Macaca mulatta: one gene and its partner. The protein of the gene in region 1 purifies or fractionates together with the protein of each later gene. This does not show direct contact. Links are inferred from orthologs where the notes say so. Each region holds a gene or a part of one and is shown on either strand. Other genes may lie near its edges.

Evidence for each region.
Region 2: the proteins of RPL19 (region 1) and UBE2O purify together in Homo sapiens (affinity purification with mass spectrometry; 3 studies listed by BioGRID and IntAct, with this or other methods). This does not show direct contact. The link is inferred for Macaca mulatta from reciprocal best matches to the Homo sapiens genes RPL19 and UBE2O.

What each region holds. Positions count from the first base shown.
Region 1 is NC_133421.1:63,527,574-63,535,620, forward strand, and holds the start of RPL19 (large ribosomal subunit protein eL19), read left to right. Parts: upstream 1-3,682; 5' UTR 3,683-3,713; coding exon 3,714-3,718; exon of another isoform or gene 3,719-3,847; intron 3,848-4,581; coding exon 4,582-4,688; intron 4,689-5,999; coding exon 6,000-6,122; intron 6,123-6,700; coding exon 6,701-6,821; intron 6,822-7,821; coding exon 7,822-7,932; intron 7,933-8,047. Other genes in the region: CACNB1 (voltage-dependent L-type calcium channel subunit beta-1), read right to left, coding at 652-735.
Region 2 is NC_133421.1:86,137,346-86,145,292, reverse strand, and holds the end of UBE2O ((E3-independent) E2 ubiquitin-conjugating enzyme), read left to right. Parts: coding exon 1-114; intron 115-3,440; coding exon 3,441-3,644; intron 3,645-3,740; coding exon 3,741-3,798; intron 3,799-3,939; coding exon 3,940-4,610; 3' UTR 4,611-6,100; downstream 6,101-7,947. UniProt on the Homo sapiens protein: E2/E3 hybrid ubiquitin-protein ligase that displays both E2 and E3 ligase activities and mediates monoubiquitination of target proteins. Negatively regulates TRAF6-mediated NF-kappa-B activation independently of its E2 activity.

The DNA.
Region 1 (8,047 bases):
CCAAACTTTGGAGGCGTTTTCAGGGCGGGGGTGGGGGTGGGGTAAGTCAACGTGGGTGTTGGGGGAGGGGAGCAGGTCCGACATGGAGATGGAGCCCAGGTGGCTGGGAGGGGACCTCGCCCGGAGTTGGCCCTTTCCCCACCCTCAAGATCCAGTGTCTGCGGCTCTGAAGGCCTGTTTGCATTTGGCACCGCCCTCTGACCATCGCCTCGGCCACCTCCTCGTGCCACCCCCGCCCCACCCACACCCGCCTGGCGCCCCCGAGCGTGCTCTGGGTCGCCCCCCTTGCCTGGCTCGCTTTCTAGCCTCCTTCAACCTCCCCTTCTCAAGGCCCAGATCCCACCACCACCAGCACCCCTACGCTCAGCCCACTGAAGCTGGTGCCCAAGCGGCAGAAACCTTGACGCGGGGGAGACAAGGAGGCGAGGGTGACAGGCAGCCCACCCGCCCCCTCCCCGCTCCGCAGCATCGCCACCCAGCCCCAGGCCCAGAGCCCATCAATCACAACCTGCAAGGATCGGGGACGCGCAGGCATCCCTCTCCCCTTCGCGCCCGGCATATAACCCCTTCCTCTCCCGCGCCTTTCGAGCCGACCTCAACACTGTCCGTGGGAGCGGCCCCCTCCTCTCGGGCCGGGCCACCACGCCTCACCTGCGGGCTGGGGTCGAAGACCTCCATGGGGATCTCCTGGGAGGGTGGGTAAGGGCCCCGGGACATGCCGGTCTTCTGGACCATGGAGAGGAGCCTCCCCTCCCGCCGCCGGCCCGGCCCAGCCGGGCGCCCTCAGCGCATGGGAGAGGCCGTGGGAGCCGAAAGCAGCGCGGCACAGCCAGCACCCGGTCCAGCCACCCAGCTCGGCCTTCGGCTGCCTCCTTCCTGCCTTCCCTCGCTCCTCCCGCTCTCTCCACTGCCGCCGCCGCCTCCCCAGCAGGCTCAGCATCTCCCCGCGCCCCTCCCTCGCTCCCTCCCTCCGCCCGCCCCGGCCCCGCCCCTCGCAGCCCCTCCTCCGGCTCGGCGCACACAATGGGCGTGCGGCAAGCTGGGAGGCAAGCGCCTCTCGGCTCTAGAGGGCCGCAGGTGGGCCTCTGACTGGCTGTGGGGTGCAGGCGGCCCGCTGGGGCGGGAAGGGAGAAACTAGGCGTGGATACTTGGGGAAGGGGTCGGGGGTCGGTCTACCAGTGGATGCCGAGCGCTGATGGGGATGAAGCGCGGACTGGCATGGCTAGCACCGCCCCCTTTTGTCTCAAACCTATCTTCCTGCGGGTCCCCCCAACCCACTCCTGTTTGGGCCACCAGAACTTCCCGGTCCCGGTGATCCTGGGACCTGGCTTTAACTCCTTTCTCCCCAGTGCGGGGCCCAGGCTGCCTTAAACCAAACAGAAAAGCCTCTACCCCTCCAACATGGCTCTGGGGCTGCCGGTGGGAGGCTGAGGCTGAGATGGGGACGGTGTCCAACAGCGACAGCAAAAGAAATCCCAGGGGTCCAGGAGTTCTGCCCTAATCGGTCACTAGGATACACGCCCCCACCCCTGACCCGCTCTTCCAAAAGGCCATGAATGGGGCTGGGCGAAGTCCCTGCTGTTGGATGAGAAAAGAGGAAGCAATATGGAGCCGAGAAAGAAGAGGCTGGTAAAATCAGATCTCATGACCTTTGACCTAGAATTGCTCCACCTTTACCCCTGATTTAGGGACAAACATCCAAGGTCTGGACTCCACCCACCAAGACAGGTGGATAGAGGAGGAATAGGAGATTCTGGGCAATAGACCCTGGTGCCAATTTGGCTCAGGCTGTTTCTGGTTGTATAGCCCTGGACAAACCACCTCTCTAAGCACCAGTTTTCTCCTCTCCTATAAAATGTGGTTGCTGGCACTGTGGAGTCTGTGTCACCTGGGATTATTGGGAGGATGAGGGAATTAAATGAATTGCTAGGGTGTTTGGAGAAGCTGTAAGTTTCAATGAAGGAGTCAGCCATTCCCTCCCTACTCCACCCCCGCTCCACAGAAAGGAGAGGTGGAGAAGACCCTCTCCAGGTCAAGTGACCTTAAAATAAGGCCACCAGCTTGCTGTGTTCTGCAGGAGAGGAGACTATGGGACTCCTCCTCCTCACCTGTGATAACAAATGAATGGCCGCTCTGTCATTCCTCTGATCACAACACCTTCGGGAAGGAGGAGCAGTGAGTGAAGATAAAGCCCATTAGAAACATTCCAGGAGAGCTCCAATCCTGAGCACGGCTTCCACCTGACCCTTGGAGAGGAGAAAGCCTGGCATAACCGCAAAAGCATGGGCTTTGCAATCAGAAATACCTGCGTTCTCAATCTGTTACCTCAGCTGTAAAATGAGGGCAACGCTAATTGTGTTGTTGTGAGGAAGTAGCATAAATGTTGATTCCCTTTCTCTTTCTTCTACTTTCTCAGCCAGGAAAGTTGAGATGAAACGGATAGGGTGATCAGCGGGAACCAATGATGAGTTGGAGCCTCAATTCAGATGTAGACTTCTTAAACCCCAGAATGCTCTCCTTGGATTTTTGCATTGGGTGTTCCAGATCAGAAGAAAAGAACTGAGTGGTCCTGCCTTTTTTTTTTTTTTTGAGACGGAGTCTCACTCTGTTGCCCAGGCTGGAGTGCAGTCGCACAATCTCGGCTCACTGCAACCTCCGCCTCCTGGGTTCAAGCGATTCTCCTGCCTCAGCCTCCCCAGTAGCTGGAATTACAAGCACGCGCCGCTACGCCCGGCTAATTTTTGTATTTTTAGTGGCGACAGGGTTTCGCCATGTTGGCCAGGCTGGTCTCGAACTCCTGATCTCAAGTGATCCACCCGCCTTGGCCTCCCAAAGTGCTGGGATTACAGGCGTGAGCCAGCGAGCCCGGCCCAATTTTTTTTTTTTTTTTTTAATTTTACTTTCTGCAATCATTCATCCATTCAGCCAGTGCAGTATTTCTCAGGTGTGTTCGATCGCGGATCCATGCCTACCGCAGTAGAGCTGTGAGCCAAAGGAGACTACGAGACTAGTTCTCGCCCTCCAAGAGCTTGCTGTCTTAATGCCTTCCTTTGCTAATTGCAAATGTTACCTCACGTAATTTCCACAACTGATGATAGAAACATTGGGATTAGGTCCACTTTACAGAGGAGGAAATTGAGGCACCAAGAAATTAAAGACCCGCAGCAGCGTAAAAACACTAACATCTTTTAGTGATCTATTCTGCACTCTAGGGGTTTTCAATCTACTAAGAGAGTGAATAAGAGGTCGCCTTTGTCTGATACCTGTTGTCATTCTCTCTCGCTTCTTCAACTGACTTTTTTTCTCAGCTAATAAAGCATCCACCCATAACCGGCCGAACGCCCGCAAACACCAAGCTACTCTAGCAAAACCTCTCTCACTCCGCCTGCGCAATCCAGCTGACTTCCGGTTAAAATAACCACGTGATCGCGTACCCTTGCTGCGCATGTCTAGTAGGAAGTCGGACTATACCACTTTCCCTACGGAAGGGGTACATTTTCTATGTTTTTAAGTTTAAAACCGATTTCTGATATTAGGCTTTTATCATTTCAGGCCTATACGGAGGCTATGAGTGAGTTTGGTGTGGCGGAAGATGAAAGAACCGGACGGGAATACGGACGAAATTGGAGAGGGGGTTGGGCTCTCCCCTTCTCAGGTAATGGGAGGAGCCGGTCCCGAGCGAGCTCTTTCCTTTCGCTGCTGCGGCCGCAGCCATGAGGTGAGGGCGCGCTGATCTCCCACAGGCGCTGACGCTTTTCGGCGGGGGACTGTTGGGCTTGGGACCGCAGCCGGGGTTGGGGGAGATGAAATGGAGGCCGCCCTAAAGCGGCCGGTCCCGGGGTTTGGGGTAGGCCGGAGCACTCTCGTCCCGGGCCTCCGGGGTGGGGGGGGGGGGCGGGGAGCGTCGCAGCAACTGAGACCCGGAAAAGGCTGCCTCGGGTGGCGGCGCGCCGCACATGTGTCGGGTCGACCCACGCGAGCAAAGCAAACGTAGCGAACGGGACCGAGCCTTGGACCCTTTCTTGCATGGCACGCCCGGAGCGGAGCAGATCTGTGCTTTCACGTGATCTAGGGCAAGCCTAGTGTAGGCCCCAGGCCTCCGACTGCCGAGAGACGTGATCTCTAACTCTTGACGCCTTCCACTCCTTTGGCCATTCATAAAGGAAATCTCTACAAATGGCCGAACGAGGCTTGTTACTGTGATAAAACGGGAAAATGAGCCCAGAAAACATTAACTTGCCTGCATTGCTAGACTAGAAATCAGGTCTACTCGCCTCGAATATTTTTCAAACGCTGAATACCAGAAATGGCATAAGCCCCCTATTCATTCCAGTAAATCCTTAACTTGACTTTTCAGAGAAGAAATGCGAACATGAGGCTCCAAGAGGTGAAGGCATAGCGTGGGCTTTGAAGTCTAAACCCAAGGGGACCAGCTGCACAGCCCAGAGCCTTAAAGATGATTTAGGGAAGAGTCTTATTTCGCGGCTGTCGTGTGGGTCGCAGAGGGCAGGTCTTGATGGGGACTTTCGTTCTTGCCCACGAGTGGCTTTCAGAGTCTAATCATGTTTTCTGTGTGTCTAGTATGCTCAGGCTTCAGAAGAGGCTCGCCTCTAGTGTCCTCCGCTGTGGCAAGAAGAAGGTCTGGTTAGACCCCAATGAGACCAATGAAATCGCCAATGCCAACTCCCGTGAGTACCTGGGATCTGTCTCTTCACCCTACTTCCTTCTCTTGTCCTGCGTCATAAGAACACAGTTGTGTTGACTTTTTTTTTTTTTTTTTTTTTTTTTGAGACAGTCTTGTTCTGTTGCCCAGGCTGGAGTGTAGTGCCATCTCATCGTTGCAACCCGTCCTCCCAGGCTCAAGTGATTCTCCCGCCTCAGCTTCCTGAGTAGCTGGGATTAGAGGTGTGCACTACCACGCCCGGCTAATTTACTCTTTATTTTTTATTTTATTTTTTATGAGATGGAGTCTCCCTTTGTCACCCGGACTGGAGTGCAGTGGTAGGATCTCAGCTCACTGCAACCTCTGCCTCCCAGGCTCAAGCGATTCTCCTGCCTCAGTCTCCCAAGTAGCTGGGACTAAGGCACGTGCCACCACACCCGGCTAATTTTTGTATCTTTAGTAGAGATGGGGTTTCACCATATTGGTCAGGCTGATCTCAAACTCCTGATCTCAGGTGATCCGCCTACCTCAGCCTCCCAGAGTACTGGGATTACAAACATAAGCCAGCATACCTAGCTTGTGTTGACTCTTTACAAACCTAGGAAGGTACGTTCAGAGTATCTACAAAATGGAGGAGTCATTGTATCAGGCTTGCTGTTTTGAGTGTGCTGTAATACATGTAAAAGGTAGAAATGGCCGGGCGCGGTGGCTCACGCCTGTAATCCCAGCACTTTGGGAGGCCGAGGCGGGCGGATCACAAGGTCAGGAGATCGAGACCACGGTGAAACCCCGTCTCTACTAAAAATACAAAAAATTAGCCGGGCGCGGTGGTGGGTGCCTGTAGTCCCAGCTACTCAGGAGGCTGAGGCAGGAGAATGGCGTAAACCCAGGAGGTGGAGCTTGCAGTGAGCCGAGATCGCGCCACTGCACTCCAGCCTGGGTGACAGAGCGAGACTCCGTCTCAAAAAAAAAAATAAAAAAATTAAAAAAAAAAAAAGTAGAAATGGCCAGCCATAGTGGCAGGCATCTGTAATCCCAGCTACTTGGGAAGCTAAGGCAGGAGGATTGTGAGCCCAGGAGTTCAACACCGACCTGGGCAACATAGGGAGACTGTCTCAGACAAAGAGTATCTCTCACAACTTCTGTTTGTGAAGGAAAAAGAAAAGATAGAGGTTTTTTGGATTTTCGAAGGCAAGAAATAAACAAGTTCCAGTGTTTCCATCCTTTTTGAGAGCATGGGGCCGAGAATGTGAGCAGTGTCTGTGGCCTGGCCTATTTGGATTCTGGGATGTGCTTGGGCCCCAGTTGACTGACCAGGTGCATTATGCTTTCCCAGGTCAGCAGATCCGAAAGCTGATCAAAGATGGGCTGATCATCCGCAAGCCTGTGACGGTCCATTCCCGGGCACGATGCCGGAAAAATACCTTGGCCCGCCGGAAGGGCAGGCACATGGGCATAGGTAAGTGTGGTCGTCTTCTCCTTAAGAAATGATAGGTGCTGTCGTCTGTGCTGAAATATATTCAGGATCTAAGCACTCTGTCTCATCTCGAGCCCGTTTCTTACTCCTTGGTATTTGATGTGTATTCTGCCTGTGTGCAAATCAGAAAGTTGGTGCTGGTATTGGAATTGAGAGCATCCCTGGTAGGAGGTCACATTTACTAAGTCCTTACCTACACTATGCCAAGGATTCTGCTGGGTCCTTGAGAATGTGGTCCATCTTAACTCTAAAATTGCTTTCTAGTGTCAGAATGATTGAAGGAAGCTCCTTAAAACGTGCTGTGCTACCTTGGTGCACTGCCTGTTAAACCCACATTCTGTATGAAGTAAATGGGGAATTATTGCCGTATTTGTGCTTCCTTTAAAATTGAGTAAACGAAAGAACTTACGTAGTTGGGAATCATCATCTGGAAGATTGAAGTAATGCTACTTAAAATGAGGTTGTGAGGATTAGATGAGTTAAGACCCTGACTTGAAACTTGGTGTACTATACACAGTGGACCTGGGTAATAGCCCATTCCTAACTCATCTTCTCCACAGGTAAGCGGAAGGGTACAGCCAATGCCCGAATGCCAGAGAAGGTCACGTGGATGAGGAGAATGAGGATTCTGCGCCGGCTGCTTAGAAGATACCGTGAGTCTAAGAAGATTGATCGCCACATGTAAGCACACCCTCTTGGGCCCAGTACCCATTTGCTGCTTTGATGGCTAGTTCATTTTCCAGAGTGGTTTTTTTTTGTGTGTGTTGTTTGTTTTGTTTTGTTTTGAGATGGAGTCTTGCTCTGTCACCCAGGTTGGAGTGCAGTGGCGCGATCTCAGCTCACTGCAACCTCCGCTTCCTGGGTTCAAGTTATTCTCCTGCCTCAGCCTCCTGAGTAGCTGGGACTACAGGCATGTGCCACCACACGTGGCTAATTTTTTTTTTTTTTTTTTTTTTTTTCATTTTTAGTAGAGACGGGGTTTCACTGTGTTAGCCAGGATGGTCTCGATCTCCTGACCTTGTGATCCATCTGCCTCGGCCTCCCAAAGTGCTGGGATTACGGGCATTAGCCACCGCGCCCAGCCCACAGAGATCTGTCTTAATGGCCTTGGGTAGGGAGCTTTTATTGGAGACAGATTCTCGCTCTGTCACCCAGGATGGAATGCAGTGGCATGATCTTGGCTCACTGCAACCTCTGCTTTCCAGGTTCAAGCACTTCGCCTGCCTCACCCTCTCGAGTACCTGGAATTACAGGCATGCACCACCACACCTGGCTAATTTTTGTATTTTTAGTAGAGATGGAGTTTCACCATTGGCCAGACTGGTCTCGAACTCCTGGCCTCAAGTGACGCACCCACATCTCAGCCTCTGAAAGTGCTCAGATTACAGGCCTGAGCTACTACGCCCAGCCACGGGTAGGGAGCCTTTCTAAGAAAGTTTTTCTATTCTGGTCTTTCTTTTTTTCCCCATATGCCATCAGGATAGCCCAACAGTTTATTTGCCAGGCAAGTTCTGTCTAGGAACTGCACACAAAAAAAGTAATGGTTTAGGAAGTAATTCATGAAGCAACAGGAGAAAAGGAAGGAACCTACAAGCTTAGTCACCTTAGGTGGAGGAACAGCTCACAAAGCAGCTTCTGATCCATTACCGACCAGCATCTCTTCACTCCGTGTACCCTGCAGGTATCACAGCCTATACCTGAAGGTGAAGGGGAATGTGTTCAAAAACAAGCGTATTCTCATGGAACACATCCACAAGCTGAAGGCAGACAAGGCCCGCAAGAAGCTCCTGGCGTAAGTTTCTTTTTAGTTTTAGGGGAAAGTTCTTTGACCTTTGGGAGTTGTTCTTAGATACTTAAAATGTGCCAATGCTTAAGTCTTGACTTGCACGCAGTCTGTCATAGGAATA
Region 2 (7,947 bases), about 23 Mb from region 1:
GAGTTCCAGCCTCCAGAAGCCAAGAAGTTCTTCAGCACAGTGCGGAAGGAGATGGCGCTGCTGGCTACCTCGCTGCCTGAGGGCATCATGGTCAAGACTTTTGAAGACAGAATGGCAAGTAGGCTTGGCATGGGCAGGTGCAGATGTGCTTTGTGGGCCAGTGCCCAAGAGGTCACCAACCTTGGGTCCCCAAACCTCTGGGGCTGACTGGCACCTGCGAAGACATTCACCCACCCACCTTTTACAGGGGCGGTCACAGGCTCAGTCAGGTAAGGGCTGTCTCAGCCGTGTGTCCAGGCCAGATGGTTCTTTTTTTCCTCCCTCCTTTAAAAAATTACTTTGAAATAGACCGGGTGCGGTCGCTCACAACTGTAATCCCAGCACTTTGGGAAGCCGAGGCAGGTGGATCACCTGAGGTCAGAAGTTCGAGACCAGCCTGACCAACCTGGTGAAACCCCGTTCCTACTAAAAATACAAAAATTAGTCAGATGTGGTGGCGGGCGCCTGTAATCCCAGCTACTCGGGAGGCTGAGGCAGGAGAATCACTTGAACCGGGGAGGCAGAGGTTGCAGTGAGCTGACATTGCGCCACTGCACTCCAGCCTGGACAACAGAGTGAGACTCCCATCTCAAAAAAAAAAAAAAAAAATTACTTTGGAATTAATTATATTATGGTTACTCCTCAAGCCTACTTTTCTTTTTGAAAAATTAAAACATTACAGATCCTTTGAGTGGAAATGGAAGAGCTAAAGTTGCCTTTGACCAGCCCTCACTTCTGTTTCTCCCCGAATCATAGGCCTCTTCCCACACCCAGAGGATTTTTAGAAGTTTAGTGGGTCTCCTTCCAAACGGATGACCTTTTTTTATATTTTTACATTTTTTATACACTCTCATATTTTCACATTCTCATATGTCACCATAAGTACATGGTATTTTGTATGATTTGTTTACACACAGAGTATGTCATTGTACACATCATCTCTAATTTGCTTAAGACCAACCCGTGTTGATTCATATGATCTAGTTTCTTCCTTTTTACCTGCAAAATAGGACAACAGCATGTGGCCACACCACATTCCATTTTCCCACTCCTCTGTTCATGGCCGGGGCCTAGTGTCTCTGAGTCATGTTTACTGAGGCAGCGGTGAGTGCCTCCTCCAGGAACAGGCAGGCCCGTTTGCCTGCCACCTTGTTTACTCAACATTCCCTTACTGGGCCTGTGCAGCGAGCCAGGCACCATGCTAGACTCTGAATATGAGCCTGAGGCCCCAGTTCTGGCCCTGTCCTGGAAGGGAGTAAAGAAAAGAAAGAGCAGGGATCCTGAGAGCAGCCAAGCGAGGCACTGTTGAGGTGGGCCCGGAGTAGCCACAACCCTGGAACAGGGCTAGGCAGAGCCCTAAGTCCCAGTGCTGCTGGAGATTCTTAATAACGCTTTTGGTTTATTCTTGGGTTGTAGTAAAATTCCTTTTGAAAATCCTATTCTGTCTCAGCTCTGCTGAGGGAAGACAGGAACAGTATTTTTTATTTTGTTCTGTTTTCCCCACATCTCACTCAGGAGAAGAAAAGTAGTGCATTCTCTGAAGGCTCCCAGGGTGGCACCAGTAAGAGCATGCGCAGAGATTCCCTCACCCCAGCTGGCGCTCTGCCCTCCCTGCTTCTCAGCTCATCACTGACATCGCCCATTTCCCTGGCAGTTGAGATCCCACACACACACACGTATGCACACACATGCACGCAACTAGATGCACAGATTCCAGATGTCTGTGGAGCGGTGGTCTCCCAAAGCCTCCCTTGCAGTTCAGACCCTCACTGTCAGCTTCTGGTTGTGAGACCATCCCCCTTCCCCAGGCCTCACCAGCCTGGAACTGTCTTTCAGCTTGAAACTGCTTGTACTACTTGCCTTGTTGGAGATAAGGGTTGGAGCAGGTGTTTAGAGGAGTTGTTTTGTTTCGTTTTTAAAAGACAGGGTTGGCCGGATGCGGTGGCTCACACCTGTAATCCCAGCACTTTGGGAGGCCGAGGCGGGCGGATCACGAGGTCAGGAGTTCGAGACCAGCCTGACCAACATGGTGAAACCCCATCTCTATTAAAATACAAAAAATTAGCCAGGCGTGGTGGCAGGCGCCTGTAATCCCAGATACCCGGGAGGCTGAGGCAGAGAATCGCTTGAACCTGGGAGGTGGAGGTTGAAGTGAGCCAAGATCTCGCCATTGCACTCCAGCCTGGGTGACAGCTACACTCTATATCTCAAAAAAATATATAAACAAAAAAATAAAAGATAGGGTCTCGCTCTGTTGCCCAGGCTGGAGTGCAGTGGTGTGATCATAGCTCACTGCAGCCTCAACCTTCTGGACTCAAGTGATCCTCCCATCCAAGCTTCTTGAGTAGCTGGGACTACAGGTATGCACCACCATGCCCAGCTAATTTTTTATTTTTTGTAGAGATAGGGTCTCACTATATTGCCTAGGTTAGTCTTGAACTCCTGACCTCAAGCAGTCCTCCCACCTTGGCCTCCCAAAAGTGCTGGGATTACAGGTGTGAGCCACCATATCTGACTGAGGAATACAATCTTTTTTTTTTTTTTTTTTTTTTTTTTTGAGATGGAGTCTCACTGTCACCCAGGCTAGAGTACAATGGCGCGATCTCGGCTCACTGCAACCTCCACCTCCGGGTTGAAGCAATTCTCCCACCTCAGCCTCCCGAGGAGCTGGGACTGCAGGCACGTGCCACCACGCCTGGCTAATTTTTGTATTTTTAGTAGAGACAGGGTTTCACCATGTTGGCCAGACTGCTCTCGAACTCCTGACCTCGAGATCCGCCCGTCTCGGCCTCCCAAAATTCTGGGATTACAGGCACGAGCCACTGCACCCAGCTGGAATACAGTCTTAAAGTAATGATTCATGAGGAAAAACACCTGATAAGATAAAAACTCATTTCGAGTATTTCTCTTAGCCAAGGTTCAAAGACTCCAGGCAAGAGCCGGGCACGTGACTGCTCGGGGCTGTAAACCCCAGCACTTTGGGAGGCCAAGGCAGGTGGATCACTTGAGCCCAGGAGTTTGAGACTAACCTAGGCAACATAGTGAGACCCTGTCTCTACACAAAATAAAAAAGTCAGCTGGGCGTGGTGGCCCACACTGTAGTCCCAGCTACTTGGGAGGCTGCAGTGAGCTATTATCGCACTAGTGTACTCCAGCCTGGGGGATAGAGCAAGACCCTGTCTCAAAAAAAAAAAAAAAAAAAAAAAAAAGATTCCAGGCTGTTCTGCAGAGAGATTTGTGCTTAGCTTCTCCACTGCTGGTGGCGTCTGGAGTCCCAGGTGCTGCTCATCCTGCGTGATCTGCACAGTGTCCTGGGAAAGAGCAGGTGCAGATGCGGATGCCACATGTAGGACACCCCTTTCCACCCCTGCCAACCTTGGCCTCCCTCCCTCCCTACCTAGGACCTCTTCTCAGCCCTCATCAAGGGCCCCACTCGAACCCCCTACGAAGATGGCCTCTACTTGTTTGACATCCAGCTCCCCAACATCTACCCAGCCGTGCCCCCCCACTTCTGCTACCTCTCCCAATGCAGTGGCCGCCTGAACCCCAACCTGTATGACAATGGGAAGGTGTGCGTCAGCCTCCTGGGCACCTGGATTGGAAAGGTGAGTATAGTGCCAGGCCCCCAGCCAAGAAGGAGGAAGAGCCAGTGGGGGATAGGGGCCTGGGGAACAGAATTGATGGTGCCCTGTGTGTTTCAGGGGACAGAGAGGTGGACGAGCAAGTCCAGCCTTCTCCAGGTGCTCATCTCCATCCAAGGTACAGTTGGGCTGAAGCGGGGGTGCGGACAAGGGAGGACCAGTGGAGGGAAGTGACTCTGATGGTCCCCTGGCAGGTGGAGGGTAGGCCTGCATGGTGGGCTTCTCTCGCCCACTGAGGGAAGCTGTCCCTCCCCCACAGGTCTCATCCTGGTAAATGAACCATACTACAACGAAGCTGGCTTCGACAGTGACCGGGGCCTGCAGGAAGGCTATGAGAACAGTCGCTGCTACAATGAGATGGCGCTGATCCGCGTGGTGCAATCCATGACCCAGCTGGTGCGGCGGCCCCCCGAGGTCTTTGAGCAGGAGATCAGGCAACACTTTAGCACTGGTGGCTGGCGGCTGGTGAACCGCATCGAGTCCTGGCTGGAAACCCATGCCCTGCTGGAGAAGGCCCAGGCGCTGCCCAACGGGGTCCCCAAAGCCAGCAGCTCACCAGAGCCCCCAGCTGTAGCCGAGCTCTCAGACTCCGGCCAACAAGAACCTGAGGATGGAGGGCCAGCCCCAGGAGAGGTCTCCCAGGGTTCAGACTCAGAGGGCGGTGCCCAGGGCCTGGCCTCAGCTAGCAGGGACCACACAGACCAGACTTCGGAGACCGCACCAGACGCATCAGTGCCACCCAGTGTCAAACCAAAGAAGCGGAGAAAGAGCTACCGGAGCTTCTTACCTGAGAAGAGTGGCTACCCTGACATCGGCTTCCCCCTCTTCCCACTTTCCAAGGGTTTCATCAAGAGCATCCGGGGTGTCCTGACGCAGTTCCGGGCTGCGCTGCTAGAGGCAGGCATGCCGGAGTGCACAGAGGACAAGTAGCTGCCAGGTGCGGAGGAACGAGCATCACCGTGGGAGAGGCCAGCCGCCGCTTGCTCACTCCCCGCCGGAATCGCCCCTCTTCCCATGCCCCTCTGTCCCCACTGCAAACCCCTCATTGCCCTCTTCTCCCCAAGGTGAGTTTGATGCTGAAGTGCAAGAAGTGTGTTGAGATGCCGCCGTTTCTATTCTGAAGCGAGCTTTCAACAGGTGGGTCCCCCGTGGCAAAGAAAATCGGAACCCTATTGCCGATTTTCCATTTGTCACCCCAGCAGAATGTCCCGGCACTTGCTCCCTTGCTGTCCCTTCTCAGGTCAGAGGTGGGTGTTCCAGGGCCTGCCGCGGGGCTCTCTGGGCCGGTGCCCTGCAGACCCGCAGGAGAGCACATGTGCCTTGCATGAAGTGTGGGTTGCGCCAACAATTCCCCTGGTCCCTTTCAACCTCTTAAGTTCAACTTGAGCCTCCGTGTGTCCTAGACCCTCCTGCTGCCACCGCCACCAGGTCCTCCCTAGTCCCCCAGCGTCAACACTATACCTTGGGAGTTGTAGCTGCTGTCACTGACTCCTGGCTATACATGGCCTGTCGACCACATTATAACCCTCAGGTCTGTTGAACTTGCTCTCTAAGAGAGGTTGGGACCAGGCTAGGTTCAGGGTGACGCCCAGGAGAGGTGGTGGCCTTCACACATGCACATGGAGTGAGGACCAGGGAGCTGTGGGGAAAGCAACAGCTGTAGGTGCCTTGCTCTTCTGTTGGAGGCTGCTGGGGGCAAGAGCAGCTGCACAAGGCCAGGGCAAGTGCTAGGGCCCCTCCCCTATCACATGGTCACACTGGGACGTGGCGTGCAGCTCACTGAACTCCAAGCGAGCCAGCCCTCTCTTGGACTAGAAGGCCTACTGTCAGCCCTTCGCTTACAAACTGCAGGCTCAATCCAGAAGGGGACGGCCGGCGGGGGCTCTCCTAGTGCCCAGAGACAGGCCCAGAGGTTTACAAGTTTTCTAAGCTTTTGATAATGTGAAGCTCCAGGCCAAGAGGATGCTGTTGAGCACATTGCAGCTATGTAATTTTTGGTGTATGTATGTAATATTTAAGGTTGGAAAAAAACTCAAAAGCAAAGATATTAACTCTTATTAGAAAAAAAGACAAAAAAAAGCCAAAGCATGATGCGTCTTGTCAGCCTTAAGTGGGCTCCACACCTGTGCTGTGCTGTGACCGCCCAGCCAGCAGAGCTGCCGGAGGACGGAGCTGGAACACACACCATGGCATTTGGAGCCGAGTCAGTATCTTGTTTGAGAAACACCCGGAGTGACTGGTGGGGCTGTGCTTCCCAGTGCATTGTACATGTGGAGATGTGAATGCCTACTGCTTACAATATCTGTATAAAGTGCTGTGTGATTAAACTTTTTTTTACTTGCTTTTTTTTTTTTTTTTTTTTTTTGGGTTGGCTCATTAACAAGACAAGGTGACACCATTAAACCTCCCTCTGCCATTCATCTGGGCTCCGTTGCCTTTCTTCCTCTCTGGGGCACTGTGTGCTTGTGTCCCTCACACACACCCTTCCTGGGGAAGGAAAGACCTTGTTGCCAGGGAAGGCATGTGGCAGTGGGTCCTGGCTTTCCTGGCCAGGTGGGGGCCACTGTGAGCAGCACCCCCCACCTGCCCACGCTGCCCTCCGCCTGCCAGATCTGCTTGCATGCCTTTTGTACTTCCTGTCCTGGAGCAGTCCTCTGGCCTCTTCCTGGCTGGTGGTGTGCTCCTTAAGAGCCAGCTTAGAGCAGCCTTCCAGTGGCTGTAGTCTCCAGAGACCTACAACTGACCAGTTCAGCTCCTTCCAGATTCTGGGAGAGCTGACGTCATAGCACCTGGTGGTGGACAGGTGCCACATCTCCTGGACCCTAAGCCAAAATGGTTACCCAGTTTATGAGACTTGCATGCATTCTTCCCTGCCGCAGTCTTTCCACTCCTGCCTGGCACTCCTCCACGAGGACAGGTGGGGAAGGGAGGTGGCTGAGGGAGGCTGGGGGAACCCTAGACCCCTCATTGGTGGGGATGACAGACTCCTTTTAAAAAGGTAAGATACTGACCGGGTGCGGTGGCTCACAACTGTAATCCCAGCACTTTGGGAGACAGAGGCAGGCAGATCATTTGAGGTCAGGGGTTTGAGACCAGCCTGACCAACATGGTAAAACCCCATCTCTACTAAAAATACAAAAATTAGCCAGGCATGGTGGCGCACACCTGTAATTCAAGCTACTCAGGAGGCTGAGGCACAAGAATCACTTGAACCCAGGAGGGTTTTTTTTTTTTTGCAGTGAGCAAAAAAAAAAAAAGGCAAGATACTGCCATTTTTTACTTCTGAAGTCTCCTGCACCTTGCCAATTTTGGGGAGTGGCGGGGGTAGTGTTTTTATTTTGTTTTTGAGACATTCTCACTCTGACACCCAGGCTGGATTGCAGTGGCGTGTTCTCAGCTCACTGCCGCCTTAACCTTCTGGGCTCAAGTGATTCTCCTGCCTCAGCCTCCCAAGTAGCTGGACTACAGGTGCCCATCACCACACCCTGCTAATGTTTGTATTTTTTGTAGAGACGGGATTTCACCATGTTGCCAAGGCTGGTCTCAAACTCCTGGGCTCAAGTGATTCACACGCCTCGGCCTCCCAAAGTGCTGGGATTACAGGCGTGAGCCACCGTGCCTGGCCCATCGGTTTTCTAATGCCCTTAACTCAGATATTTTCCCTTTCCTGCTAAATCTACATGGGGCTCTGATGAGATTTTCTGGGACTAGCTGGTTGTGTGGCCCTAGCTGAGACATGCCAGGTCCGAGCTGCAGCCTGTGTGTGGTCAGGCAGCTGGCTGAACTCTGAGGCTGCTTCAGGCTGGAGGTACTGTAATTATCACGGTAGTAGAGGCATCCCCCACCGTTAGGCTGAACCAGCTCTGGGCCTGAGTCCCCCACCAGAGTGACTATGCCTGAGGCCAATAAAATCCATTGTCCATCCCAGGGGGCAGTATTGGCCATCATTAACATTAAATTCTATAGTCCTGGCCAGAGCAAGAACCCATTCTCTCCCCAGTCACCAGGACAGGACCAGCAGGCTGAGAATGTCACTTTATTTGGATTTGGTTCATGGGGTGGGGGTCCTAGAACAAATTGGAAGGCCTTAGGCAGCTGGGCCCAGCCAGCTGGGCTCCTGACCCCAGGACCTCATTCTGGCCTGTCCCCCCAAAGCATAGCTTCCACCTTCTCACCCTTCTCCAGAGGAGTCTCCTCCACCCCACAGGAGCTGTGGACAGGCCCTGCAGCCCTGGGGAAGGAGGAAGGATCCTGCAAGTAGACACTA